Rhinolophus ferrumequinum: one gene and its partners. The protein of the gene in region 4 purifies or fractionates together with the protein of the main gene of each other region. This does not show direct contact. Links are inferred from orthologs where the notes say so. Each region holds a gene or a part of one and is shown on either strand. Other genes may lie near its edges.

The links.
Region 1: the proteins of EP300 (region 4) and HNRNPU purify together in Homo sapiens (affinity purification with mass spectrometry; 3 studies listed by BioGRID, with this or other methods). This does not show direct contact. The link is inferred for Rhinolophus ferrumequinum from reciprocal best matches to the Homo sapiens genes EP300 and HNRNPU.
Region 2: the proteins of EP300 (region 4) and ILF2 purify together in Homo sapiens (affinity purification with mass spectrometry; 4 studies listed by BioGRID and IntAct, with this or other methods). This does not show direct contact. The link is inferred for Rhinolophus ferrumequinum from reciprocal best matches to the Homo sapiens genes EP300 and ILF2.
Region 3: the proteins of EP300 (region 4) and MCM5 purify together in Homo sapiens (affinity purification with mass spectrometry; 3 studies listed by BioGRID and IntAct, with this or other methods). This does not show direct contact. The link is inferred for Rhinolophus ferrumequinum from reciprocal best matches to the Homo sapiens genes EP300 and MCM5.

What each region holds. Positions count from the first base shown.
Region 1 is NC_046310.1:16,462,135-16,469,984, reverse strand, and holds the start of HNRNPU (heterogeneous nuclear ribonucleoprotein U), read right to left. Parts: upstream 3,002-7,850; 5' UTR 2,808-3,001; coding exon 2,174-2,807; intron 1,267-2,173; coding exon 1,155-1,266; intron 1,067-1,154; coding exon 993-1,066; intron 1-992. UniProt on the Homo sapiens protein: DNA- and RNA-binding protein involved in several cellular processes such as nuclear chromatin organization, telomere-length regulation, transcription, mRNA alternative splicing and stability, Xist-mediated transcriptional silencing and mitotic cell progression.
Region 2 is NC_046305.1:52,588,842-52,595,682, reverse strand, and holds the start of ILF2 (interleukin enhancer-binding factor 2), read left to right. Parts: upstream 1-3,830; 5' UTR 3,831-3,929; coding exon 3,930-3,934; intron 3,935-4,650; coding exon 4,651-4,710; intron 4,711-4,906; coding exon 4,907-4,949; intron 4,950-5,407; coding exon 5,408-5,512; intron 5,513-6,394; coding exon 6,395-6,472; intron 6,473-6,815; coding exon 6,816-6,841. UniProt on the Homo sapiens protein: Chromatin-interacting protein that forms a stable heterodimer with interleukin enhancer-binding factor 3/ILF3 and plays a role in several biological processes including transcription, innate immunity or cell growth.
Region 3 is NC_046293.1:10,965,185-10,972,447, forward strand, and holds the start of MCM5 (DNA replication licensing factor MCM5), read right to left. Parts: upstream 3,001-7,263; 5' UTR 2,932-3,000; intron 2,701-2,931; 5' UTR 2,693-2,700; coding exon 2,526-2,692; intron 305-2,525; coding exon 178-304; intron 100-177; coding exon 1-99. Other genes in the region: HMOX1 (heme oxygenase 1), read right to left, coding at 6,322-6,452. UniProt on the Homo sapiens protein: Acts as a component of the MCM2-7 complex (MCM complex) which is the replicative helicase essential for 'once per cell cycle' DNA replication initiation and elongation in eukaryotic cells.
Region 4 is NC_046293.1:6,788,294-6,795,380, forward strand, and holds the start of EP300 (histone acetyltransferase p300), read right to left. Parts: upstream 3,007-7,087; 5' UTR 1,799-3,006; coding exon 1,705-1,798; intron 1-1,704. UniProt on the Homo sapiens protein: Functions as a histone acetyltransferase and regulates transcription via chromatin remodeling. Acetylates all four core histones in nucleosomes. Histone acetylation gives an epigenetic tag for transcriptional activation.

The DNA of each region.
Region 1 (7,850 bases), on a different chromosome or scaffold from region 4:
GTGCAGTTTTTTTTATAAAGACTACTCCACTACCTTACTAGGTGTAAAGGGTACTCAGTAAGACATCAAATTTTACACTTACATGCTTACATATCTGAATAAATACAATTTGTATTGAAAACATGAAAACTCTAAGCTTCAACTCCCTAGGATCTACAGGGCAGGTTAACACCTTATTTTTCGAACAATTATTTCTACCTTTTGTTCTGCTTAATCACTGAAAGAATTATACATTCTGATCATATACTAAACCAACAAAATTTCTTTGTGATAAAAAAGAATTCCAAATCTGACAGCCACGGCCCATTTAGAGGTTTGCAATACTTCCTCATACTCAATTGCAACCCAACTGGGTAAAGGAGCAGTATTTACAGCGCTGCCATTGATACCATTCGCTGCTGAAGAAAGCTAGTGGCCCAGTGATAGCCCACTGCTGCTGCCCCAGGTCTTTGGAAGAAATCAACTTATGTTAAAGCAGCAGCTACTGAACTGGAATTGAGAACAAAAGAGCAGTTATTGAGAAAATAATATTACAATCTTTTAGTATAGGGAATATACTTGTGTGCTAATGGGAGAAGTCATTAATAAATATTTAGTCCAAATAGCTCACTTAATATAATTCCACACAAAAAAATGAAATTACTTTATAGAAGCAGCCCATAAGCACAAGTTATAAGTAGTCTTACAAGTTTCCATTAGCTAACTAATCAAAATTGGCATTAATTTTACATTCCTACAAAGGAGAAAGTTCAAGTAATAAAAAAAATACTACAAAATTGCTAGAACCCGTAAAATTATCAATACAATACAACTGCTGCTATACTAAGTATTAAGGTATCGGAATGTCATCATCTTCCTGCCTTTAAAAACCTGTTTCTCCTAAGCTTTCTGCATTAAAGTTCAATGTTACATTCCGTTTTCTAACATGTGGAACCCCAAAATTACAGCATCTGACAATTGAGGGAGGAAAGGGAAGAAGCAGCTTCACTTACAAGTATCAAGACAAACCACTGTGTCATCGAAGTGTTCATCTTCTTCTTCAACAGGTGGCTGAGGAGATTTGGCTCTGAAAGACAATATTGTCTCCTGATACAGCTTTTCCCACCAAAGAGTAAAGAATGAATGACAAGTAAAACTAGGTGAGCGTCCTCTACCTGCTATACTTGTTTTCTTCAATGTACTCAAAATATCCACGGCCATGATCTTCCCGAGGTCGTTTAACACCTCTCTTTTTATCTCCGCCTTTCTGCTCTGTTTTGCCGTCTCCTATAACACACAACACCCCTACTTAGAAGGCCAAGCCGCAAACACAACAGAAAAAAACCCTTTTGTTTTGAGACGCAAAAAAGCTCGACATTTCCTTGTTCCTTTCTGGAAGCGTTTTCAAACAACGGACTCAAATGAGAATTCAAACGATCAGCTTGGAATAGGATTGAAATTAGTGACGCAGTATAAACACCACAAATTTTGCCAGTCTAGTGGAAAATTCGAGAAACCTAATGAAAAATAGCGCCGCACAGGCCGAGCCCACGTGCATCCCGAAGAGAGTTCAGGAAGGCGGGAGGGGCAGAGCCGAGCCCGCGCGCCCTCCCCTCCCCTCCCCCACCCCACCCGGGCCCGCGCTCCCCGCGGCCGCATTGTACAGATCTTCCGCCCCGCTCTCCCCACCCGGCCCCTCCCGTCGGAAGTGACGTCACGCGAGCCCCTGCGCTCCTTGCACAATACCGCGGCCCAGAGCCGCCAAAGCGCGCCCGCCCCGGGCCCTTGGGCCTCTCCCCTCCCCCCGAGACATGTGCCCGCACCGCGCGCACGCTGCGCGGCGGCGCCACCGTGGGCCGACGGGGCTCCCCCCGCCGCCCGCGGCTCCTCCCCCTCCAGCGGCAGCTGCAGCTCCCCTGGCTCTCGAGCCACATAATGGAGGCGCTGCCACCACCGTCACACACACCGAGCCCGAGGCCTCACGGCTAATCCGGGATTCCCCGCGCCCCTCCTCCACCGCCACCCGCGCCGCGGCCCCCGCCCGGGGCTCCCTCCCCCCACGGGGCCCCGGCAGGCCTAAAGCAAGGTCCACACCCGCGCGGGCCTCCTGCCGCGCGCAACGTTACCACGCAGCCCTCACCCGCTGCCGGAGCCCCGGGGCGGCCGCCGCCTCGGCCGCCTTCCGCTTTCTTACCTCCCGCCTGCTGCTGGCCCTGCCTGGCCCCGGGCGGCGCCACCGTCACGGCGAACAGCGAGGTGGGGCCGCTGCTCTTCCCCGCGGCCTCCTTGGCGGCCCCGCGCTGCTGTTGGGGCTGTTGCTGCGGCGTCGCCGGCGGTTGAGACTGCTGCTCCCCGTGCCCGTTCTCGTCGCCCGCGCCTTCCTCCTCGTCTCCGAGCTCATCCTCCCCTTCCTGGAAACCCTGGTCGTCGCCGTTCTCGTCCTCCGAGGCGGCCTCCTCCTCCTCCATCGGGCCCGAGTCGGCCGCCCCCGCGGCCCCATTCTCCTCCCCTAGCTCCATCTGGTTGCCATCCAGGGCGGCGATCCCTTCCTCCTCCTCTTCCTCCTCCTCCTCCTCTTCGTCGCCGCCAGTCGCGGCCTCCTGCTCGAGGCCTGCTCCCGAGCGTCCGGCGGAATCCCCGCCCAGGTCTAGGCTGCCGTTCCCGGGCTCCATGGCGGGGCGGCCCCCGGCCTCCTCGTCGTCCAGCGCGGCCTGGAGTCGCTCCATGAGCTCGGCCTTGAGGCCCTTGTCGGAAAGGCGCCGCTTCTTGAGCTCCTCTTTCAGCTCCGACACCTTCAGCTTTTTTACATTAACAGGCGAGGAACTCATGGTGAGGGCCCCGATTCACCGCTAGGCGCTGGCTCGAACTCGGCTCCGCTCACTCGGCCACTGGTGGCGGCTGCTGCGGCTGCTCCTCGGCCCGGGCGGCGGCTGCGGCTGGAGGTGGGTTCGTGCTGCAGAGCGGACCCGCCTGGTGTCGAACGGCGCCAATTCCTTTCACCGAGTTCGCGAGGGAGACGCGGAGACTCGCCTGGCGTGAGCGAGCACGCAACGTCCTCTCGCAGGGGCGGCGCCGCGCACGTATTATAGCCGCCCCGCCCCCTGCGCTGACGGGAGTGCTGCGCAGGAGGGAAGCCAGAGCGCGCCCGCGCCGGGGCCCGCCCATTACCGTACTTACCTCCCCGCCCCCACGCCGAACTCTGGGCAGAGAGCGCGGCCCGGGCCGCGCAGTGCGCTTCCAATTGGGACTGAGCAAATGGAGGGAAAGGAAACCGCCTTTCAGTTAAACCGACCCACTGCAACAACTATTGGCCTTTCTAGTTCTTTGGTGGCAGTACTCGTTTTGCTCTTTGCCTTTCCAGCCCTGAGGCTGCTTTTATCCAAATGCTTTCAGTCCTCAACCTGGCGGTTTCAATTCGAATCCTCCACCATTTCTTCCATCTTAGATTTTCCTTATCCAGCTATTGGTTTCAATTTTTCAGTTTTGATTTGTACGACACAAATTGGCAATTACTACACGCAGGGGTTTTTCTTCCGCGTAATATTTCGTTTAATTTTTCTAAGTCCTGCCTGTGAATTGGATTTTAAATTCGGGAGGGGCGAGGGCAAAGCCTTTCTTTTGTCTCGTCCACAACCCCTACTGCACGGCTTGGGAGATGGAGGCTTGCCTTAAGAGCGTGATCCCTGCTCCATACCGCAAAGCGTACTTGAGGGGCCTTGTCTTGGCAGCTGTTCTCGTAGTATTAATAGCCAAAGAAATGAAGCCTCAGAATTGCATTTCTGGGTGTTCTCTACCTACCTACCAAAAAAAACCAAAAACGTAAAACATTCTGTCCCACTTAGGACCTGGTCGTCCAGGTGTAAAGTCCCAGCTAAATCCTACACTTTGATTCTATTCATACTTCTGTAGAAATACTCTTGACCAAATCCTGCTGAAACTAATAAAAACGTGTGAAAAATAAAGGGCTGTGATTTTGTAAAAAGAAAAAGAGACTTGTCACCCTCAAAATCTGTTATTTTGGTGTCTTTCAGAAGTAATTTTTTCTTTACTAAATAAAAGATGTGTTATGTTCTTGAGGTTTTAGATAGGGGGGCCAGAATTTAGATTTGTGGTGGAGGTAAACATCTTAAACCTCAGAGAATCTGCACAGGGACCAGCCAGTGTTCCACTATCTCTGACTAAGGAGGTCTGTTACACCCACTATTTGATGCTTTAGCTGGCACAATAATGCGGCCCCAATATTAATTTGAAATTTGGAAAAATATACATGTAAACTTTCCCATAGGTAGTATGTTTTAGATTAATTTTATTGTTTTTTTTAAGTTTCTTTTCGATAGCCTTTAACAAACATGTTATTTTTCCAGGCAGTAGTATATAAAGATGAAATATTAACATTTGTAAAGTGATTTGAGTTGAAATTAATGGACCATGTACAGTACTGGTAATTCTTAATTCAGCTTACTGGAGGTAGAAGGGATAGCACCTAAAATAGGAACTTCCAAATAGTGCCAAAAACTCCTGTTAGCCTTTGGTTACAATGTCCTTGGAGCTTGTAAACAAGTCACAAGCTGGAATTTTAACTTTTCAAATTCTTTGCCCGTGTTCAAAAACGGGAAGAGAGCCACAGGAGGCTTACATGTTCACAAACTGAATAATTAGTCTCTTAATGAATCAGAGTTAAATATAGTTAGCATGACGGTCCTTTAAGTTTGTAAGTGTCCTTAGATATTTACATTTTTAAACTATGAAAATAAAGTTCACATATCTAAATATCTTTATAATAATCATTGTTGGTAGGTTAAATCAGTTAATAATAAACATGAAATATAACTGTAGATGGACAGGAGATAGTTCCATGGCTTTAACTCCAAGAGCTTTGCAGACTTTTTGAGCTCGATGTAGCCTGGAGAACATCTTCAGTGGGCTCAGTTTACAGCCCAGGTTGCAGAGGCTCTCCCTCTCACCCCAGTGCTCCTTCCTTACAACTGGACCTTCTTAAACAACATTGGAAAGAAAAACAGTTTTTGTAAAACTGTCGAGCCATCACCTTACATTGTCCTTTCTACAAAGGGGTAGAATCTACTTTACAATTTGAAAGTACATATAATGATAATTTTACTAATTGTTTTTGCTTCTCTCTCTCTCTTTTTTTTAACTTTTATTTATTTTAAGTGTGTTTCCCACCCCCAGACCCATCAGCTCCAAGTCAAGTAGTTGTTTCAATCTAGTTGTGAAGGGCACAGCTCACAGTGGCACATGTGGATCGAACCAGCAGCTTTGTTGTTAGGAGCTCTGCACTCTAACCAACTGAACTAAGGGGCAGCCCCTGTTTTTTCTACTTAGAGTTTAATGCTATCATGATTGTCCTGTTCTATAGAGACCAGTCAAAGTATAGATCACTTCCTCTAAATTGCTGAGGGACCTATAAGGAACTTAAAATTCCCCCTTTTTGAAATCCTAGAGACTACCAAGAATATAGAGTGGAAGAGGGGACACATTAATTCTCAGTAGCAAAAAGGGATTAGACAATTACCCATGGGTACTAGATCTATGAGAGAGCATTACAAAGTTAGGGTACTCAGAACACATAGTTTACACTTTGAGGCTGAAGCAAAGGTGTGTACATACGTGCTACAGTTCACTCAGCAAATACATTTTTGATCATCTTCTCTAAGACCTATAGAGGTCTAGGCACTGGTATCCTAGAACTACAGCGGTGAACTACATAATTATGCCTTCACTCTCTTAGGGAGAGTAGTCAACAAATATAAAATAGGAATGGTAACAATTACTACAGGGAAATAAAAAACAGGAGAGGGACGAGGTGTACCGAGGTGGGGGGTGAGTTTTTCAGCTATAAATAAGGTGGTCAAGGAAGCCTAAGAAATATGGTAACATTTGAGCAAACATCTAGAAGAGGTGGAGGGAACAGTAAATACAGAGGCCTGAGAGGAAAGATAGGAAGTGAGATCAGAGAGTTAAGAGAGAAGAGAGGAGGTAGAGATAGCAAGCAACCTTGCAGGTGGTTTTGTAAGGACTTTAGCTTTGCCTCCAAGAGAGGAAAGACATTAAAGGCTGATTCATAGTGAAGTGACATAAACTGATATGAGTGCTAAATTCAGTGGACTCAAGATGCTATTCCATTTAACTTATTTTTTTTTTCTTTTTGGTCTAACACAATGAAGCTCAATTTAAGTTAATGAACGAAGCAAGAAATACGGTGAGATAAATTTCCAATCTTCTTACAAAGATGTAAGAAAGTATAGGTACCTCCAAATTATAATGTGTTAAAAGTACATTTTCAAATAGAGAAATAGGAAAGCCCAGTTGAAAGGGAGGATGTACCAAGTTCTCGTTAAAAGTGCAAACTTAGAAACAGACAGACCTGGATTGCAGTGCCATCCAGAGCACCTAGGAGCTGGTCCCATCTAGTAGCTAGTATGTGATCTTGCACAAGCTATGTATCTCTCTATGCCTGAGTTTACTCATATATACCTGCCTCATGAGGTTGCTGGGAAAATTCAGCCAGGTGATGAACATAAACTCAGGGTACAGTGCTGGGCACACAGTAAGAGCTCAAAAAATACTAGTCTTCATTAGATACACCAAGCAATTTAATGAACTTAAGAAAATCTGTGATTGGATTGTTAATATCTTATTTAGGGAATTATGACTATACATATTTTGTAAATTATCATGAATTGTTCATTGTAAGATGTCAGTCTAGAAAAAAGTGAAATGAAGTCTGTCCACACAGGAGAGTGCAGACTTCTCAGCTCAGCACTGTCACTGTAACCAGCTGTGTGACCTTTGGCAAATTGCGTGATCTCTCTGGAAATTAGTGTCCTTGTGTATGTACGAAGCAGAGCAGACTAGATTTGTAGAGTCCCTCCAGAGAGAACCTTCGATGAGTTTCTTCTTTGCTGACTCCAGGCTGGAAATGGGGGAGCACTGTTAAACTTTGAAATCATTGTTATTTACATTCAGGTTTTACTTGTTATGTTTAAAACTTTGCATTAGAGTCTCAAAACATTTTAAAATTAAGTAGTAGACATGAACGTTGAACCATTGTACTATAGTTTTTGAATTTAAAATGGTACAAAATATTCCCATTTACATGAGACTTGAGTACCACGACAGGCTAAAAGTTTCAAAGTAAATGCTTCCTATTTGAATCATCTTGTCTGTGATGTCATGAATCTCTGTCTTCACATAACTTCTGTGGAATAAAACACGCTCATTAGAAAGTTGCAGGAAAACTATAATCGTGGTTAAAGTAATATGTCAGGGCTTTTCTGAATATTTACTAAATATTCAGTAAATATTTACTAAACTAAAATATTTACCAGGTAAAGACTGATAACATTTACCAAAACTTATCTTACACAAAGGTAAGTGGAGTGCTAAGGAGTTTATTATTATTAAGTACATTATCACACACATTACTCGTGCCTGGCCGGTATCACAGTACCTGATAGAAAAGGATGAAGAAAATATTCAGACCATCCTGAATTACACAGCCAAGAACGAGATGAAAGACTAGAGTGATTATTACCTCATAAGCTCTCACCTTCTATGTGCACCCTTGGAGCTGGTCTGTTCCTTGAGCTCAGGGAGCAAGATGGACATGACTTTTCCAGCACCCGGTGCAGTGTCTTACATCAATAGTCACAGAGAGCCCAGCAGTGTGTGGGGAACGAGATGGAAGCTCGGTAACGAAATATACCCTCTAAAAACGTGAGAACTGTACCACAACCCTGATGCACACTGAATAATTTATTTTAAGAGAGAGCTCTCCAAAAATTAAGTAGAGACTGTGATGATGCATTTGATTCAGCAGAGCCTTCTTGACATAACATCTACCAAATAAA
Region 2 (6,841 bases), on a different chromosome or scaffold from region 4:
GTAGAGAGAGCAGAATACTGAAGTACGTTTTCTATATATGGAATATTAGGAGAATTTTGAATATAATTATGGTCTAGAGCAAACGGTAGCCCATGGACCAACTTCAGATGGCGGGCATGTGTTGTTTGTCTTGCATTCTCATATATATATATACACACACACACACACATATACATATATACATACATATATATACATATATATTCATATTTAATTTAGTTGCCCACGCTTAAAAGCCAGCATATGGTACATGAATATTTGGAGTTCTGGCTTGTCTTGGAATATTGCAGAGCTGGTAAGGTAGGTCCTGCATCTCTCCCTGAATCGTCAGCTGGAACCAAGTACCCCTTACCTCCTTGAGATGTTTAGTTTCTCACGGTTCTTAGCCACCCTGTTTACTCATTGTCATTACTGGCTGCAGTTTATGTTTACAACCCTGATGTAGGATGTAAGATGTTGGAATTACCTGGGAGGAGATGTCTTTGTTCTTTCTGTTAGTGGGGCTCCAGATTCCATAGACGTAGATAGGAGTAGGAGATTGGGATATATATATATATATATATTTTTTTTTTTAAAGAAAACAGTTTTATTGAGATATAATAACACAATAAACTGTACATATTTAATGTATATACAATTTGAGGAGTTTGGACATATTTACACACCCATGAAACCATCACCACAGTGTCTAGGTAATAAACATACCCACCACTTCCAAAAGTTTCCTTGTGTCTTTGTGTGTGTGTGTGTGTGTGTGTGTGTGTGCGTGCGTGTGAAGAACACTTAACATGAGGTCTACCCTCTTAAATGTCTAAACGCATAAGACTGTATTATTGACTATAGGGAGATGTTTTGTAACTAGATCAACTGGACTTCAGGAAGAGAAGACAGTATACAAATAACTGAAGTCTAGGTGACATCGACCCATTCGTTGAAAAGCTGAAGAAGCAGGTTTTGGGGAGATTATAATAATTTCAGTTTATGGGGTTTGAGGTGCCTGTAGATACCCAGGTGGAGGTGTCCAATAGGTCCTTGAATTAGTGGAGCTGGAGCTCAGAAGAAAAGACTGGACTAGAAATCTAATTTAGTAATTGAGCTCCTCCATCAGCAATAGTGGACCAAATAATGTGTCTAATCCCTGAGCTGAAGACAACTAAAATGTTGGATGAAATCTTTTAAAAATCAAAGCACTAGTAAAACAGTGAGGAATTATTGGTGTGAGAGCAGAAAAGGACAGGAAAATAGAGAGGTGAGACCAGCAGTGGGACTGCTTTTACCCTGGGGTCATTTGCTGGTCCGCATCGGTGGCGGAAAAAAGGCTGTGTGGGGCAAGTGAGACAAAAGTTGGAGTCCAAATGTCCCTAAGGGTGAGAACCCTGGTAAACCACTGTACTATTTGGGGTTAGGTTCCTGGAAGGCTGCATTCCTAGGGAAAACCTAAGAGTAGGTAGAAAATCCAGCTCCAAAATATTCAAAAACCAAAATTCAGAACCAATTGATGGGTTTCACAGCAAGTTAGACTCCACTGAGGATCAAGTAATGAATCAGAAGGAAGGACAGAAGAAATTACCCAGAATGAAGCGTGGATAAAAAGGCATGAAAAACATACGAGAGAGTTAGAGGCATAGAGGATAGCATGAGAAAGTCTGAAACACCTTTATTTGGAGCCCAGGACAGAGGGAAATAATAGGATAGAAGTCATATGTAAACAGATAATGGCTGAGAAACTTAAAAAGTGAGTGAACTACATCAAGCCACAGATTCAAGTTCAACAAACCTCAAATAAGATGAAAAACAATTCCCTATTTAGATCCATCGGAGTGAAAGTGCGGGAAATTAAATAAAAAATAAAGCCTTTAAAATAGTAAAACGTATTGAGTACCCTCAAAGGTGCAGCCATTAGATTGACAACGTTTTTTTCACAGTAAAAATGGAAGCCATAGACAGTAAAAGAATATTGTAAATGTGCTGAAAGAAAATTAGTCCCATCTAGAAACCGATACCCAGAGAAAAAATGTCCTTCAAAAACAAAGGTGACACAAAGACGTTCAGACAAACCACAACCAAGAAAATTAGCTACCAGCAGAGGGGTACTTATTCTCCAGCAGAAGGATCAGTCCAGATGAATGGTGAATGGTTGGAGTTGCAGGAAAGAATCAAGAACGTTAACAACGGTAAATCTAAAGGACCACAAATTTAACTAATAAGCGTTAATGCCTTGTGAGATTGAAAATATATAATTTAAATTCTGTGCACATATATCTTACACCTACCAAGATGTGGAATGCATCTGACCACAAGAATCTTGTACACAAATGTTCATAGCAGCTTTATTCATAATGGCCTCAAACTGGAAACAACCCAAATGTGTTTGCCTGTGTCTCAGCCAGTTGGAGGTCCTGAATTCATCAAGAGGAGAAAGGACAAACAAACTATGGTGTATTTATGCTACTCATAAACAAAAAAATTAATTGCTGATAAATGCAAAACCCTGGAAGAATCTTGAAACGTGTCAAGCAAAAGAAGCGAGGCAGAAAAGAGTACAAACACTCTGAGTCTATTTAAATGAAGGTCCAGAACAGACAAAACTCATCTATGATAATAGAAATCGGAACAGTGATTGTCTCTGTGGGCGGGGCAAAGGGGTATGAACCAACTTTCTGAAGGGATAAAAATTTCTTTATGTTGATCTGGTGGTGGTTACATGGACGGGCTACATCACTCAAAGTTTCTCGAGCTGTAGGCTTAAGATCTGTGCATTTTGTTGTAGTAAATTATACATCAATAAAGTACTTAAAAGAATTACACAACAGCGATAGTATATAATTCTGGAGGGAGTAATGGTGGTAAATAGAATTAAATTATTCCTGCATTTCTCACGAAGACGGTAAAAGTATTACATAAAATTAGACTTTGCTAAATTAAGGATGCACGTTGTAATTTTTAGGGTAACCAACTAAAAGAGTAGAAAAAGAGTGTGTAACTTTCAATTAACAGAGACTGGGAGGTAATAGTGCAAAAGAAGGAGGCAAGTAGGGAAGAGAAAGATTACAGGAGGGACAACGCACATAGTAATATGATTGATTTAAATGCAAATACAGTATATACGTATATGTGGCTGTTAAAACCTCCTAAAAGGGTGAAATCCGTCAGTTTGTAGAGAGGGAAGAAGAGAGATGGGGGAAACTGGGCAACGGGGATGGGTCTGGCCCTTCTGTCCTTACTACTTCCCTGCTCTTTTTCTGAGACCTGTTTCCAAAGCTGCCTCAGTTTTGCTTCTAGTCCCTCACCATCAGTGTTTTCCCCGCTCTGATTCAGTCAATATACTGCCCCCTTTTCTTAAATCCGCTTCTGCGTTAGTGTTCATTGTTGCCTAATTCCTTTCCTATTCCCCCCCATTTCACTTGCTAATGGTAAAAACAGCTTCTCCAGGCTGCTTTTTAGAGGCAGAAAAAAATAGAAAGTGGTGTTTACACTTACTGAAGTTAAAACTTGTACGGTATATGAGGGAGGAAAAAAACATCCGATAGCAGAGGATGGTTTCGATCCATCGACCTCTGGGTTATGGGCCCAGCACGCTTCCGCTGCGCCACTCTGCTATCTGGAATCTCAGCTACTCATCACTCCTATAGAAAGTGTTCTGCGTGGCCTCGCTCACATCTTTATATAACGCCATCTAGTGTCTGGTAAGAAAAATTGTCATTTATCAAGTCTATTCTTATTGGCTACTTCCTGACACACAGGCGTTTTTTATTGGTTCCTAAGCAGGCTTGCCAGAGTAAACCAATAGGCATAAGCGGAGGATTAAGGCGGGAGCCAATCACGCCGGAGTTTGTTGGGACACGCCGGCAAGCCGCCTCTCCAGTTATCGGTTTCTCCGAGGCAAGGGGCGGTTGGAGTGGTCTCCATTGTTCGGGGTTTAGGACGCCATGAGGTAAGGGCACGGGATTCCTCTGGGAATGTGTGGGGTGTTTGACCGAAAAGTTTGGGGAGGGGGACCGAAAGGAGTCGGAGGACCTGGAAGGACCACGTGTCTGGGGGCTGCCCTAAAACCTGAGAACTCGGGGTCGGGGCGAGTGGGAGGTCGGAGGCCGCGGAGGCGGGGAAACCTGGGCCTGGGATGGGGGTGGGGCCCAGGAGTGGGGAGGCGGGTTTGACGCCTGTCTGCGGGGTTTAGGGGAGGGGGTGTCCTCCGATCCCGGGAGGAGCACCGCGCTTCCCCCCATCTAGGCTGAGGAGGCTGGAGCGTGCTCCTCCATCCTCACTGCCAAGTGCCCGGCTGCATATGCCCGATGAACGTTTCGCGACGTTAATGACTCAATGAGCAGTCCCTCGAGTCTCAGAAGTATTAGGGTTGGCGCGTCCCGGGAATTATGGGGTATTTCTTACAGGGGTCGATGTGGGAGCCCCGCCGTCGTTTGGTGTAGTTGTGACTACATTATCCAGAACGAGGGCGCGGGGGTGAGGCTGGCCGTCGGGACCGGGAGACGTGAGGCGGGCGCCAGCCGCGGAGCGGGGATTCTCGGCTCCCAAGGGAAAGTTCAGGGCGATGGCGGCAGGCTGACTTGAAATTGTATGACCGGGGGTATGGTGGAGTGATATTTTTAACGAGGCCGAAACCACGTTCGAGTCTATTTTCGTGTATTCTAGGGGTGACAGAGGCCGAGGTCGAGGTGGGCGCTTTGGCTCCAGAGGAGGCCCAGGAGGAGGGTGAGTGCCAGCTTTAACCTCTTTGCTCTGGTTACTGTCTACGACAGTCACCTAAACAGGAGTTTGGAGGGGCCTAATACCTGCTTTGGTGCGATCCTGCTGTGTGGTTCAGAAACAAAGCCAAAGGAGTTGGACCCATCATGCTAAGTCGCTTGATTTCTGTGGTTCCTAATTTGGGTGGTTTTTCTTGTTTTAGGTTCAGGCCATTTGTGCCACACATCCCATTTGATTTCTACTTGGTGAGTACCATAGCCCCTGTTCACCCGTTGCCATAGAAATGGAGCCTGCACACTCTTCACTTGTGGTTTCCTGGAGCCCAGCATCTCCCTGTAAATGAAGTCAAATGGTGGTTGCAGTAGGAAAAAGGATTAGGGAATGGAGTTGGGGTTTTGAGTCAGCTGTGTGTTGCTTACATGCAAAAACAGTGTAAGCAGGGTGGGTCAGATCTGTGGCTACTGTTGCCAGTGACGTGACTGTAGTCTGAATGTTAATTGTATCTCTGGCCTATCTGTTATTATAAAAGTAGTGACAGCTTCGATTATGGTTATTCCCTCCAGCTTGGATCCTTGTTTGAACATCTTAAGGAGTAAAAACAAGTGTTGTAGAATTTTCTATTTTTATTCTATTGTAGCAACAGAAAAACAACCTCTCCTCTTGGTTTTGAGAGATAGTACATAGTTCTTTGTTTCTGATTTAGTGTGAAATGGCCTTCCCCCGGGTCAAGCCAGCGCCTGATGAAACTTCCTTCAGTGAGGCTTTGTTGAAGAGGAATCAGGACCTTGCTCCTAATTCTGCTGAACAGGTATATTCTTTTGGCTTCCTTCCTGAGATTTCACTAAGAAAGCCAGAGAAGTGAATAATACTGGTGAGGTTACTGTGATCAGAGCCCACACTCCACAGAGAGTTCACAGCGGTCCCCTCTTACAGTGGAGATAACGTCCAAGACCCCACTGGCGGCCTGAAACCATGGATAGTACCGGACTCTATGTACACCATCTTTTTTCCTATACATACGCACCTGTGCTAAAATGTAATTTATAAATGAGGCACAGTAAGGGATTAACAATAATAGAACAGTTATAATATACCATAATAAAAGTTATGTGAATGTGATATTTCAAAATACCTTATTGTACTGTTCTTATTCTTCTTGTGATGATGCGAGATGATACACGCATACATGATGAAGTAAGATGAATGGTGAACGACTGAGGCACTGGCGTGGCCTTAGGCTACTATGGAGAGGGCTACTGGCCGGGAGCGAATATAGTGTGGATATGCTGGACGAAGGGATGATTCACAGCGCGCCATTTAAAACTTATGAATTGTTTGTGGAATTTTCCGTTTAATATCTTTGGACAACAGTTGACTGTGGGTAACAAACCACATAACGCAAAACTGGATAAGGGGGGAGCAACTGATTGTTCTCCTTCTCATTGTGGGTGGAGGGAGAGTGCCAGATGAATATATAAATATTTACAGATGTGTTCATATTTTTATTGGGGAATCTATGAGATCAAACAGTTCTCTTCTGGAATGCTCAAGGCCAGAGGGTCAGAGTGTTTTTAAAGCACTATGTGGGAATTGACTCAGCTTGTATGGAAAGGATTAAGAGGAATATTCAAACTGAGAAGTTGCTTGTAATTTTTCACCGTAGCTTATTTTTGTTTCCTGCTGTTTTCAGGCCTCTATCCTTTCTCTGGTGACAAAAATAAACAATGTGATTGACAACTTGATTGTGGCTCCAGGGACGTTTGAAGTGGTGAGTTTCTGATGACCTAGTCTAGTTGTAGGGCAGCCGTGGTAGTATGGAAATTTCATTGGCTCCTGTCTCTTAATTCTTCTATTATCTATTACCCAAAGCCAAGTCTAAAATGGGAAAATACAATGGAATTCCTTTGTGGAACTGATCTTGGGACAAGACTTACATCATTGTTATCAGCTAGCCATGATGTATCAGGCTTTTCATGTGGTTTTTGGGATATGACTTGACCTCTGCAACTTCTAAGTCTGGGTGATAAAATGCTGTGTTGTAGTTGAGTTTGCAAAGGAAGAAGGCAGTCTTTTCACTTCTTTTTTTCCCCCTGAAATCCTTCTTCCAACAGCAAATTGAAGAAGTCCGACAGGTGGG
Region 3 (7,263 bases), about 4.2 Mb from region 4:
GTCTGACTTGAGAATGACCTGGATGTCCTGGAGCACCTCCTCACCGATGGGCCGGGGCCGGGTCACCTCGTCAGCCACCTCCTTGGCAGCTTCCTCCAGCTAGAGAGAAGGAAGGGGACAGGCCGTTGGTGACGAGCAGGGCCAGCCCTGGGGGGTCAGAGACAGGGTCCCACTCACCAGCTGCAAGTGCTCGGCTGGCTGCTTGTACAAGAAATCAGCCAGGTCCTCGTCAAAGCTGGCCAGGTCCTCCATCTCCACCTCGATCCAGTACTCCCCCAGGTTGTAATGCCGCTTGAGCTCATCCCTGGAGGGGGCAGGTGGCAGAAAAGAGCAACCAACACTGGCTAAGGTACACCTGCACCCTGAACCTGCCCTTACCATCACCAACACTGCTCACCACGTCGCTCCCCAAACGCACACAGAATTCCAGGGGGTTCTGCAAAGGATCCCTGTTGTCACACAACAGCCTAGCAGCCTGCCCCCGACTCCCACACCCCATGTCTTTCCTTAAGGAAAGAAGAGTCTGTGAGACTGTGTATCTCTGGGACTGTATATTTCTCTCTATTTAGTCTCCAAAAGAGGGTTTGCGGCCAATGACGAGTAAGATTCCCCACGGCGGGGACAACTCAAGCCAGGCGGAACCCCATGGAGACCCCCAATGAGCTGCCTTAGAAAGATTTGGGAAGGGGCCTTGTCTCCCCTTCCCCCTGCCTGGGAAAAGTCGCTGCTGACTCTGGCTTCCCCTCTCACCTAATTGGGAGAAAAGTCTTGAGAGTGATAAGATTAAGCTGTCTCTGCTCAGCTCTGTGAAACAATTTCGACATGTGATATATGTCCCTTAAAAGAGTTGCATACCTCACCTCAAGGACTTTCTGCTTCGGCTGTTTGAAGATCAACATAATTGGTTTGGGTTGTTTCTATAACGTGGTGAGTCCCACAGACCGTGCCAAAAACACTGCTACTCCCTTGTATACTTATCAATAAAAACCTCCAGTCGGCTCATATCTGGGCTCCAGTCTTTCAGAACTGTGAGACCCCTGGCCTTCTGAGATTTAACTGCATTAAGTCTCTGTATGTTTCTTTCTTAAAAACTTAACCCAAAGCCACCCCTTCTCGCACCCTCAGTGCCCGTGTTGCGCTGGACGCAACAGGTCCCTACTGCCAGCAGAGGCAGCCTCCAAAGAAAGCTCCGTGGAAGGATATTTCAACCCTCAAAGACGAGGTTCCACGCACAGGTCAGTTGGGGAGACTCTCACTGCAAATCAGTGCTTCCATTGCAGGACTCTCTTGGGAAACTAACAAGGCACACGCCCCAGAACTGGGGAGGCACACGCCCCAGAACTGGGGAGGCACACGCCCCAGAACTGGGGAGGCACACGAGAGTAGACATTGTATCTTGTCAACCATCACAGATTCTTTTCAGAGCATTCCACAGCACGACTGTACCAAACACATTTGGGGACCACGGACCTACGCAGAGCCGGCTCCCAAGCCTCACCTCAGGCCTCATCCTCTTCTACCTTATGCGTGGGAGCCACATAAAGCAGCCTGTCTGGCCCAGAGAGCCCCTTGCTACAACAGGCCACCCCATACCTCTGCCCATGCAACTGCCATGTGGAATGCCTCCCACACCACGACTCTTCTCTCGGCTCAAGGGTCACCCAGAACTTTGGCTCCTCTGGAAGTCTTCCCCAACTCCTCTTTTACATTCCTCCCTTGAGGTGACTATCACTTCCTAATTTATGCATCGCTCCCACTGAGCTCTCGAAGGCAAGTAGTACGAATGTTTTTGCGTCTGTTATCTCAGTGTCTAGCAGTGTCTGGCACATGGGTGATCAATGTTAGCTTGTGCGTGAATAAATGGAAGCAGAAATGGCTATGCCCATTTTACTGACGAAGAAACTGAGGCCCAGAGAGACTGTCACCCGAGCCTGGACCTGCAAACGCATGTTTGAAGGGCCTACAATGATGTGGCATGATGTCACAGGTTGCACAATGACTAGAAGCAGGGACCTAGCCCAGATCGTTCAGTGCTGTAGCACCTGGAACAGTGCCTGGCATGCAGCAGGCACTCAATCAATAGTGGTTCCAAGAGAGGAATGAACGAATGAATGAGTGAAGTGAATCATAACTCCCACTTCACCTACTGTACCCAGAGACAACTAGGGTCAAGAAAGTATCTCTGACAGTATGTATAAGGACAGAAACAGCAGACAAACAGGAACAAGAAATGGACAACGAACCAAAGGGCCCACGTAGCTCCAGCTGGGTTGGCGGAGGCCCATTCAGCAGAAGACTGGCTCAAAAGTTAACTCCAGGTATAAAACACAGGAAACCATAGGCCATAGGTTTGTGGGGGGGAGGGGAGTGCCTGATGACGCACTGCTGGACCAAAACCCGCAGACCCGCGACAGGCTCCTCCTCCTCTCGTCCTGTTTCCCCATCCGTGTCTGGACTGTCTATGACACTGCAAGGTTCTCCGTGGAGACTGCCCAGCTCCCCTCCGCCCCCGCTCCGGCTCGCACCTGTATTTGAAGGTGAAGCCGGTGCGGTCGGTGCCCACGCGGTACTGCCGCAGGAACTCCTTGAAGCGCCTCTGCAGCTGCGATTTGCGGGCCTGCCCCTCATCGGTCGCGTTGTCACCCCCGAAGCTGTCGCTGTAGAAAATGCCGAGGTCGTCGAAGCCTGACATGCCTGCACCTGGCGGAGAAAAAGAGCTGGAGCAGAGTGGGGGCAGCGCGCGGCGACCGATGCCTGGGTCCCTCGCTCCGAACGCGAGGCGGGTGTGTCTCGACTCAGGGGTGGGGGACCCTGACCCCAGTTCTCCCAGGGGATACCCCTACCCACCCTTATTGCGCCCCCATCCATAGCCTACCGACCCCCCGTGGGGCGGGCTCCCGGGTCCCCACTCCCCAGTTCCACCGGCCTCACCTCTCCTTTCCGCCACTCCACGGACTCGGAGAGACAGGCACCCCGACACTCTCCGCCGAGTTTCGCGGGAAAAACGAGAGGCCGCGTTCGGACGCTGCGGCTGCTGTGCCCCAATTGGTTAGCCGAGGCCCCGCGGCCATTGATTGGACCGCTCTGCGCCCTCAAGCCCCGCCTCCAAGGCCAGTAGCCGAAGCGGATTGGCTGAGGGGCTCATGATGTCAGGACTCCTGGTCTCCTTCCGGGCTCCATTTTGTGTGGCGGGCAATTTGGCGCGAAATTTATGACGGGAAGGGGAGGGGTGGGGCCTGGCGTAAAGATGGTGGAGGGGTGGGTTTTCGGGCCGAGGGACAGTGCGGGCGTGCTGAGGACGCTTGTGTACTCTTCTCGAGGCTTTCTAAAATCTCTTGAGAAAAATAACTCCTTTCAGAGCCACGGGGTGAAAGAACCAAGGGTTCAGAAGCTATACGTCCCTACGAAGTACACGCTTGCGGGGTGCGAGCCCGCTGCCGTCCAGCGGGCGGGGGCGGGGGCGGGGGCGCGGCCACCTGCACCCCTGCTCCGTGTTCTCACAATAACAGACTCTTCTAAGATTGGGAGATTGATCAGGCACAAGTCACCTCTGGTCTCCTTAACGCCTCTGGGAACAAAATCGTCCCAAACTTAGGACTCAAGGATGTTTTCTTAGACCTAAAGGAGAATTTTTGTTTTAACTGTCGATTTTAAATTATTTGGAAATGCTTAACCTTGGCGAAAATTCACGACCGGGTTCCCAACTGAGCTTGAAAAATGGGAGTATTTGGCCAAACTCGTCGCGTTCTCAAGCAGCAACAAGGACGGCATACTTTTCTTCATTTCTACCCACCTCCCCTCAAGGACCTGGAAAGAACTTTGTATTGTCCGCCACGGTCACTCAAACATGTTTGCAAGGCATGTTTGAAATGTGTCTTTTCACAGTGTATAAAAATACCAAATAAATCGGAAACGCTTTTCTGCTTAATACTGCACGGAAGTCCCTCTGACGGGAAACATTTCATTCTATCTAACAGTGATTTAATTTTCCATAGTATGAATAGAAGGCAAACTATTACCATTTTCCTGAGAGTAGAATCAAGATGCTTTCTCTCCCGCCTCCCACCCGCCCTCCATCACCACCATGAATATCATGCCCCTTTCACAGAAAACTGGAAACTGGTGTCGTGCAGGGGACCCTGCTCGTTGCGCCATGTGTAGTGCAGGGGATCCAGGCGGGGTCTCTGCTCCCGCCCCCCACATAAGAACGCAGGGTATGGCTAGGCCAAAAAGGAACATCCACGGAGCCATAGGCAGGGGAGTCACACCACTATACTCTCGCTGGCGGCTGGGTTGGAGACACAGGAACCAGGAGCAACACAATTCTCAACCCTCACTGCACTGCTTGCAGGCTCAGCCACCATCTTCTTGCTAGCTCCCCCTTTTTTCCTGCTAGCCTAGCCACGGCAGTTATATTCATGGCTAATGGCTCACTGGTTACAGCTGACGGCCAACTAGCCACAGCTGCTGGCCATTTGCTCACAGTCGATGGCCATTTACTACCTGAGCCAGCACCTTTCTATGTGAGGCCGAGAGCCTGGAAACTGATTTTTGGGGCTCTGTCCCCACACTGGGCCCAAGGTGGGCAGAGCTGTAGTTGCTGTTTGAATGACTACGATTTGCATGCACCATCTCATAAACAGTGGCTCCTGTTGCTTGGCTGCCCTTCGCAATCTCCCGGGGAGCCTGTTATACACAGGGTTCCAGAATCTAGCCCCAGGTTTCCAGAATCAGAACCTCTCCAGTGGGGCCCAGGAATATCTGGGTGATCATGATGCCACCATCCACTGACTGGTGCTAGGACACCACTGGAGTAGGTGTATTGTTCTCATTTTGTCAATGAATAAAGGAGACTTGAAGTGACTTGTCCAAGTTTCCAGACGTAGTGACAAAACCAGAACCAGGGACAAAGGACGTCCTGACTCCCAGTCCTCACCTACTAGTTGTCTAAGGAAAGGCCTTGTCCCCTGCGCTCCTAAATACACCTTCAGCGAGGGGCTTTCACTGTCTCGGATTGGGATTCTGCATTTTAAATAAGCTGATGGCTTTCATGAGTTAAGGGAAAGGCTTGGGTCACAGAGCTGAACAGACCTGGGGTAAATCCTTCCTGCCCCTCAGGGTGGTGCCGCTCGTCACACAGACTCACTGTGAGGATTAAATGAGATGGCATAGGTGAGGTGACTGCCAGTACAAGAACCACTTAGCAAGAATCACAAAACCCCGATCTCCCTCGTTTTCATAATAGGGGCAAGTGTACAATGCTGGCATTTTACATGCATCTCATTTGCTTCACAGGCAGGTGAGGTAGGTCTCACTGTGTTCATGTTACAGGTGACACCACTGAGCCCCAAGAGGGGTTAGTAACTGACCCCTCTGTAGGCAGAGTGACAAAGTGGAGTGGCAGGGTCTTGAACCCAGGGATCTCTCGCTAGTCTCTAAGATTCACTGGACAAGACTCAAATTTTATCCCAGAATCTGCTCATTTCAGCCTAACAAGGCAAAGCTATCCTCTGTAAAGGTGAGTCTTGCGTCAAGCAGGGTTCACCACAAAGATACACCCACCAACTACTTAAAGCTCAGCCCCCATTCTCAGAACAGAACACAACATCTAAGACAGGCTCCTGCACCCTTTCTCCCCACCAGACATCCAAGAAGCAAGTGAGGAAAAGGTCAGTTCCCCAAGGTAACAGCCCAAGAAAAACACTTCAAGTTATATCAGGCAATATAGTTTATTATTTCACATAAAAGTTAGGGACCAAGGCCACAGTGCTGTTAAAAACACCTCTCTCCCCACCCAACCACCCTTACCCTGCTATAAAAAAAAAAAACAGAACACAACAAAATGCCACCCCAGTTCAGGCTGAGCTGGGAACAAAAAGTGGCTCCAACAAAAACAAGACAAACACAAGACACAACATCTTTGCACATTTATATGAAAATTGCCATGGCCCATGAGGAAAGCGTTCATGGCAAGTCAACAAGGAGACTGTGACCCCAGGGCCTTTGGAGGTTCAGGACAGCTGCTACTTCTGGCTGCTACTTCTGGGCTCTGCTGCAGGAGTAGGGGAGGGGAGTGTTCTGAGGGCTGGGCAAGGACCCCTCATCCCTCTCTGGAAGGTCAGGTCATTGGCTGGATGTACTTTTGGTTGGGAAGACACTTAAGTCTCCTTCTTCCTTTCCAGAGAGGGAAGGAGGGTGGGGGTGCTGACAGCCCCCCATGCCCAAGGGAAGGAAGCCAGCTGAGATTTTCCCTCTAGAAAGAGGGTCCTCCGCTGGACAGAGTTCATGGCCCCAGGAGCCAACACGTGTGTACGTGTGTATTCACATGGCATAAAGCCCCATGGCAACCGTTGCCACCAGAAAACTGAGTGTGAGGACCCATCGTACTAGTGGTGCCCGGGAGAGGATACTGAGCTGGGACTTCCCTCTGGGTGTCTCGATGGGAGTAGCATCTGAAAGAGAAAGGGGTCAGTGTCAACCACACAGATGCACAGAGGTGGGATGTCTGATGTCACAGAAAAACACAGCACAAGGGCCTCAGCAGTCTCTAGTACAGTCCCACTCAATGCCAGGATTCTACTACAGCACAAACAGGTAGCCCTCTAGCCACTGCTTGAATACCTCCAAGGACAGGGAACTTACTATTTCTCCAAGCTGTCTAGTCCTCACTTTTCAGCCAGCCCACCTTGTGAGACCATGCCCTCCCGGGGACCACACTTTGAGAACTGGTTAGGGCAACTACGCCTCACCCCACCAGGTAACCTGTCCTACCAGGACTGGCCACATTCCAACACTCTGAGGCACAATCCCACCAATAGAGGGGTCCACATGGTCCTGGCACATGTGGAAAAGCCACAAGGCAGGGGGTCAGAGTGGCACCAAGAGCCAAGAAGGCTTCATGGAAGCTGCCAAGCAGGCAGTGAGCTTCACCTCTCCACTCTACCCATTGTCAAAGCCACCCTCCCACCACGCATGTGTCAGGTTCGGTGGACGTCCATTTTGTGGAGCATTTGGGTCTCTTGGGACGTTTCCCAGATATTCTCTCAGCACAGACACAGCCTCTGAATAACTCTCTCTACTTTTGAGCCAATGAACTAGAACAAACTCAACCTCCCTTGGTTTGGGAGTTGGGGAAACTGAGGTAGGGAGAGGTGCCCAGACTCACACACTGGAGGTTGAAACCCCATGCCCTGTTGCCTGCATCCTACTTCTCATTTAAAACATTCAGAAGACAGGAGAGTTAAGCGATACTGGAGTCAGAGT
Region 4 (7,087 bases):
TGCATACAAAAAAAAAAGTTTTCTCTAAACTATCCCTAGCAAACTCAAATGTAAAATCCATTACCATTTTACACAAAAACTAAGAAACAACCCAAAAATCTACAGGTGAAAACATGCCTAATGGTGGATCTATAAGAATTTCTGAACGACACTATAATAAATGCAAAGGAATAGGTTACCCATTATTTGCATGCATCCTGAGAAAAAAGGTTAGGTTACCAAAAAAAAAAAAATCTCTGAACACTACAGAAACTTCAAGGCGTAAGGACAGATCAAAGTTCACGCATTGCTAATGTTACAAGCCTGAAGTAGAGGAACTCTGCAAAAATCCTTAGTTTTTGCTGATTATCTTAAACTCGTAACACATTTTTCTTATAAAAGCAAAGAAACGACAGCATTTGCCATACCCTTACATTTTCACCCTTTAAGATGAAGCCTACTTAGAAATGTGCTGAAAAGTTCTCTACAAACTCAAAGGGTACATTTAGCTCCATTAAGTACTCTCACTGGCAGATGGAGGGATGACGTTGAGCTTGTTCTTGGGGAGTTCAAGAGATGCTCCGTAGTAAGGGGGGGGGGCGGGGGAGGGAATCTTGTGGACGGTCAAATGGCCAGCCATTCTTCCTCTTCATTATCCTGGCACCCCAAACAACTATGACAGCAAAAGAGAAGGCCGGTGGTCATCAGGACAGCACCAAACTAACTGTAAGAAAGAGATGATGGAAGGAAGTCTCCCGGACTATCTCTTGTGAAAGGGCTATTCCACAAAGAATTCGTAGAGATTTTTTTAAACTGAAATCTCCAAATATGTTTAAAGCATAAAAAGGCAAAAACACACAAACAAGGCACATTTTAAAGTTGTGTACCATCAGTTCATGGTTGGGACTCTTTGAATTTCTATCTTGATTTCCAAGCACTTCACTCCACAAAATCAGTATCTCCCCCCACTGCCCCCCCAAGACAAAGTGACTACGAACTGCAAAGAAAATGTCCCTGCTCTCTCCCACCTGAAAACCCAGAGTTTCAGACATTTTGGTCTCACACCAAAGAAATGGAAGATGTAAAATGAACTGCGCTCCATATTGATTCTTAAAGCAAAGGAAAAAAAAAGCTAGGAATTGTAGGTAAAATCATTCAAACCAAATTTCAGGTTTTGACGTTAAACCTCACGTCAAACATGAAATCCTGGAATCACACCCACTAACAAATAAAACCAAGATTTTTTTTTACACCTTCATCTTTAACAGAAAATCTTGTGCAAAAAAGAGAAAATCTTGAAAAGGAAGAGTAGAAAGTAGAGGAAACAGAGTAAGTGCAACCAAGGCGAAAGGATTCGCAATTCCTCATTTATCAACAATAAAAAATTAAAAGTAAAATTGCATAAAAAGCCCTTACCCACAAATGCATTGGCATATCCAAAATCAAACTGCATGGAAACAATAAGTGCCATTTCTATATCACCACTCAAGAGCTCTAATTCCAGAACACATATCGATATGACATAATGTTGCAACGAATGTATTAGGAAGCAAAGAAAATGGTTGGGCTACTGGACGTCTTCGACCAGCTCATTCAAACACCTTTAAAATTAATCGAGAGAGAGAACTAGGAAGAGAGAAAAACGAAGAAAATATGGAAGAATAAAGGTCCACCGAGCAGAAAAGATGAAAGGGGATGTGGGAGGAGAGGACTCCCGAGACTAACCTGTGCCATCGCTGGCCGACGCCGAGAGGGCCGGAGATGAGAGTTTAGGCCGCTTGGCTGAAGGCGGCCCCGGTTCCACCACATTCTCGGCCATTTTTAATTCTTTCGGAGATACAGGCGAGGAAAACGAGAATTCTCGGGAAATCTCTTCTTCAGCCCGGGATCCCCGCCCCGCTCCCTGGGGTGGGCCTGGGGGGCTCCGCCAGCCCCCGAGGGGGGTGGGGGAAGTTCCTTTTTCTCTTCGCCGGGTCGCGGTGGCTGTGGAGGGATGCGGACTCGATAGAAAGGTAGGGGCAAGTGCGAGGGGCCGGGCCTGAGCCCAGGCCGGGAGGAGGGCACAGGAACACAAATCCGCCGAGCGCGTCCGCTGCGGCGAATTCCCGAGAACTCGCGGCTCTAGAGGAGCAGTCCCCAGTCCGCCACGGCCGGCCCCTGCCCAGCCGAGGTCTCTCGGAGCTCCGCCGCCGCCATCAGACTCTTCCTCCTCGGCGCTGTCCTCCTCCTTCTCATCGCCACAAGGAGGCGGGGGCGAAAAGGGGGGAGAGGAGGAGGCGACAAGACACACTCACCTCCTCCCGGTGCCCCCTCCCGGACCTGCGCCCCCACCCTCCGAACCCTCCTCCTGCTGCCGGGCTCCGCGCCGCCGCCGCACCGGCCCCTAATGGCCGTAGAGAGCTCGCCGGAGCCGAGAGCCAGGCTGGCGCCGCCGCCTCACATCGCGCGGCGGGCGGCGGAGGAGCGGCGAGGACGCCGGGCGCGGAGCTCGCCGGCCCAGAGGGCCGAGGGGGCCGGGCCGAACAGTGCCGCCCGCCCGCGCCGACGCCGAGTCCACCGACGAGGCCCCGCTCCGGAGGGTGGTGCAGGCGGCCTCCCCTCGCGCCGCGCTCTCTTTCGCCCTCCTCTCCCGCGGAAAATAAATAAATACGGCCGCCTCTCCGGCCCCCACCCCCGGCGGCCAGGTGCCGGGAGCGCCCGCCCCCCAGGGGCTCCGCTCGGGGCCGCCCTCGGCGGCGGGCGAAGGCGCCGCGGGGCGCGGGGTTATGTAATGGTCCCCCCTAGGCGTCGACGCCGGCCCGGCTCCGGGGCCGCGGTGGGGGTGTGTGCGGGCGGGAGGGGGCTGGGGGTCGCTTCAGCCCTTGCGCCCCGGGCCCCCTGCCACTGTCTCGGCCCCTGCCGCCTCTCTCCGGCCCGGCTCCCCTCCGCACTCTCGCTCCCGCAGTTCGCACTCAGTCCGACGTCCCGCTTGCCCACTCTCGCCCGCTCCCTCTCGCCCTCTCTCCCCCCCAGCCTAGCACACAAACAAGATGGCGGCTGTTGTTTCTTCCCTCTGTCGAATCCTCCTTACGGGCTAGCGGTAGCAGCGGCGGCCGGAAATGAGCCAAGGGGGGGTGAAAAAAAGGGGAGGGGTTGGGCCGCGGGAGAGAGGCGGTGAGGGGGCGGGGCCTGGGCCCGAGTCGCTCACACAATGGGGGAAGAGGACCCAGGGGCGTGGCCAGTTGCAATCACGGGATCCGCCCAAGGCCCCAACGCGGTTGGCGCTTCCGCAAACTCCCCCGGCGTCACCCGGTGGCTCCGTTTAAAGGGGAGGATTTGAAGGGGGGTCGGGGGCGGACTCGGGACCTATTTTCAGTCGGTGGACACTTACGGGGGAAGGTGCCGGGGTTGGGTATCTGCGTAGGGGACCGGTGCGGAGCGGGGGTGACGGAGGCCGGGAGCTACGCCAGGGAAGGCGCCAAGTCACCGCGCAGGTGGCGGAAAAGGAGCGCAGTGGGAATGGCCCTGCTCCCCAGGCTCTTGGGCGGTCGGTTTTTCGAACCCGGTTGAACCCACAACTCCCGAGTACCCCGCCGCCCGGTGTTCCTGGCCAAAGACCTAATGCGTCCTCTCTCCCCTCCATCGCTTCCCCAAAAGGAACGGGTTACATCCCAAAACCACACTGATTACAAGTTGTTTCCTTTTTCTCTGAGTTTTACAATTTTTTGACAACGAGTGTGTATTTTGATAATTAGAAAACAAAAATCACAGCAGTTGGAAGACGTTTTAGGACCTAAATTTGTTTCTTGCCCACCACGTGTCCACACGCCCCTACCAGGTATCACTGACACCAAAGGGGCCTTCAATTATTTTTCTTAACTCATCTGGGACCTGAGAACATTTTAGGGCGTTTCTATTCGCCCACCCCCAATAAACCAGCTTAATAAAAGACGCCGTTTAGGCAGTGCCTTAAAGATAATGTAATTATGGAAAAAGCAAAAACATAATGTGCTAAAGGTAATGTAAGGATGGAAAGAAGCAAAAATAAAGTGCGCTGTGTGAGACAGTTTTGCAGAGGAGGGCCTCGCCAGCGCCAGCATGCTTTCACATTCCTACACATTAGGGAAGGGATTCCGCTGTGTTTGGCCTTGGGTAAATGGTACTTGAGGAGGTGGAAAAGTTGTTAGTGCTCCCCAAGGAAACCCCCAAACTAGCACCTATGGAGAGAATTAAAAGCATTTTAGCATATTTCAAATCTCATGCTCCCTAGCTGCTTATTGTTGAGTTTACTTTGGTTTTTGTTGTTTGCATTTTAAATGAATGGTGAGAAGAAATAAGAACCTAGGAGTGAAAATCTTTTTTTATCAAAAAATATTTGGTTTCTCTCTCTTTTTTATAAAGATTTTTATTAAAATATAGGTACTATATAATATTATATTAGCTTCAGGTGTCTACCATGGTTCATTCAACATTTGTATACCTAAAGAATTGATCACTATGATAAGTCCAGCAACCATCTCACACAGTACCACCCTATCACATTATTACTGACTATATTCCTTATGCTGTACATTACATCCCCATGACTTATTTGTTTTATATCTGAAATTTTGAACCTCTTATTCCCCTTCACCTTTCCCCCGCTTTTTAAATTTTTTTCAATTACAGTCGATATTCACATTCTTATATATTAATTTCAGGGGTATAACATAATGGTTAATCATTTATATAATTTAAGAAGTGACCCCCCCTGACTAGTCTATTACCTGCCTGGCACTATACATAGTTATTACCATATTATTGACTATATTCCCCATGCTTTATTTATATCCCCATGACTATTTTGTAATTACCCATTTGTACTTCTAATTCCCTTTTTCACCCTGCCCCCAACCTCCTCCCATGTAGAACCCTGATAAATCTAGTATCCATCTGGCACTACACATAGTTATTACAATGTTATTGATTATATTCCTTATGCTATACTTTATATCCCCATGACTCTTTTGTAACTACCAATTTGTAGTTCTTTTTCACTCACTCGCCCAACTCCACTTCCAGCTGGCAACTGTTTTCTGTATCTATGAGTTTGTTTCTGTTTCATTTGTTTGTTTATTTTGTTCTTTAGATTCCACACATAAGTGAAATCATATGCCATTTATTTGTCTTTCCCTGTCTGATTTACTTCACTCAGCATAATACCCTCTAGGTCAAACTATGTTGTTGCAGATGGCAAGATTTCATTCTTTCTTATAGCTGAGTAATATTCCATTTTACCACCTCTTTTTAATCTGTTCATCCACGGATGGACACCCAGGTTGCCTCCATGTCTTGACTATTGCAAATAATGTAGCAATGAACATATGGACACACATGTCCCCTCGAAGTAGGGTTTCTTCAGATAAATATCCAGAAGTTGGATTACTGAGTCCCTTGTCTCTTGTTATAGCCTTTGTTTTAAAGTCTATTTTGTGTGGTATAAATATTGTTACCCCAGCTTGTTTGTTTGTTTCCATTTTCGTGAAATATCTTTTTCCATTCTTTTACTGTTAGTCAGTGTGTGTCTTTCGATCTGATGTGAGTCTCTTGTAGGCAGCATATATAAAAGTCTTATTTTCTTACCCATTTAGGCACCCGATCTTTTAATTGGGTGAGGCGAATATTGGTATGCTTGATGTTGTCCCAGAGGCCCCTTAAACTATTCTCATGTTTTTGGATTCTTTTTCTCTTTTTGCTGTTTGTTGGTTTCTTTTTTAGTTATCATTTATATCCCTCACACTATTTTTGCTGTTCTGATTGGGTATTTTCTGCTACCTTATCTTCTAAATTGCTGATTCAATCCTCTGCTTCATCTAATCTACTATTGATTCCCTGTAATGTAGTCTTCATTTCAGTTATTGTATTCTTTATTTCTAACTGGTTCTTTTTTATAATTTCTATCTCCATTTTTATGTTTCTGATCTCTTTGTTGAAGTTCTCCCCGAGATATTGAACATCCTTATAACCGGTGTTTTGAACTCTGCATCTGGTAGATTCCTTGTCTTAATTTTGTTTAATTCTCTTTCTGGGGCTTGTTTTGTCCTTTTGTTTGGGACACGTTTCTTTGTCTCTCCATTTTGGCTGCCTCCCTGTGTGTGTTTCTATGTATTAGAAACGTGCTTCTATGTCTCCTGGTCTCAGTAGAGTGGCCTTATGCTCAGTGGAACAGTCTCCCTGATCACCCGGGCCGGGTGCTCCAGGTATGTCCCCTGTGTGGGTTGTGTGTGCCCTCCTGTTGTAGTTGAGCCTTGGTAGCTGTTTGTATGTCAATGGGAGGGATTCATTCTCAGGCTGATTTGTTGTGAGGACTGGCCGTGACAACAGTAGAGGAGCTGTGGTGCAGGGGCTGACCCTATGGAGCAAGATTCACTTTAGCAGGGCTCTGGTGCCTGCCCTTTGGGTGTGTCATTCTTGGAGGCGGCTGGGTGGTGCTCCTGCTTGGTCCGAGGCTGGCCACAATGTATGCCAGCCCCGGGGACCCCTGGGAGAGGCTCCACCATAAGCCAAGTTCAGCTGCAAACTGTTCCCTGCCCAGAGCCACAGAGCCTTGCATGAGCCACAAAGCAATCCACAGATGGCCACCACCGTGCTGGTCTTGGAGGTGCCTTGAGAGGCTAAGCCCAGAACTGAGGCCTTCTGTCACTAATGCCAGACTCAGAGCTGCTCAGCAAGAGGCACAGGACACACTGAAGCCAGATGCTGCTTGTTTGGGGGTTGTGAACCTTTGAGTGGTTTTAGGAAAGTCCACAGCATGAGCCAAGACAGGCTGTTTGTATGGAAAAGCCACTGGAAGTGGCTTGGGTGGGCCGGAAAGTTGGGTGGGGTGGGGTCTCAGGGTGGGGTGGACAAATAGTATTAACCAGGTTGATGGAGACTCAGATATGGTGGCCAGTAGGAGTGAAAATCTTAGTGAAACAACTTAGGTTGCCAACAAAGATTTATTCTATTGTATGATGTTCAGGCCTAATTCATCCAAACTACAGTAGAAAAGCAGGCAAATTAAAAAGGACAGTACTCCTTTATCTTAAAGTTGTTATAGGATGGATCCAACATGTAGGGCTAAAGTCAAAATTGGTCTTCAGGAATGATT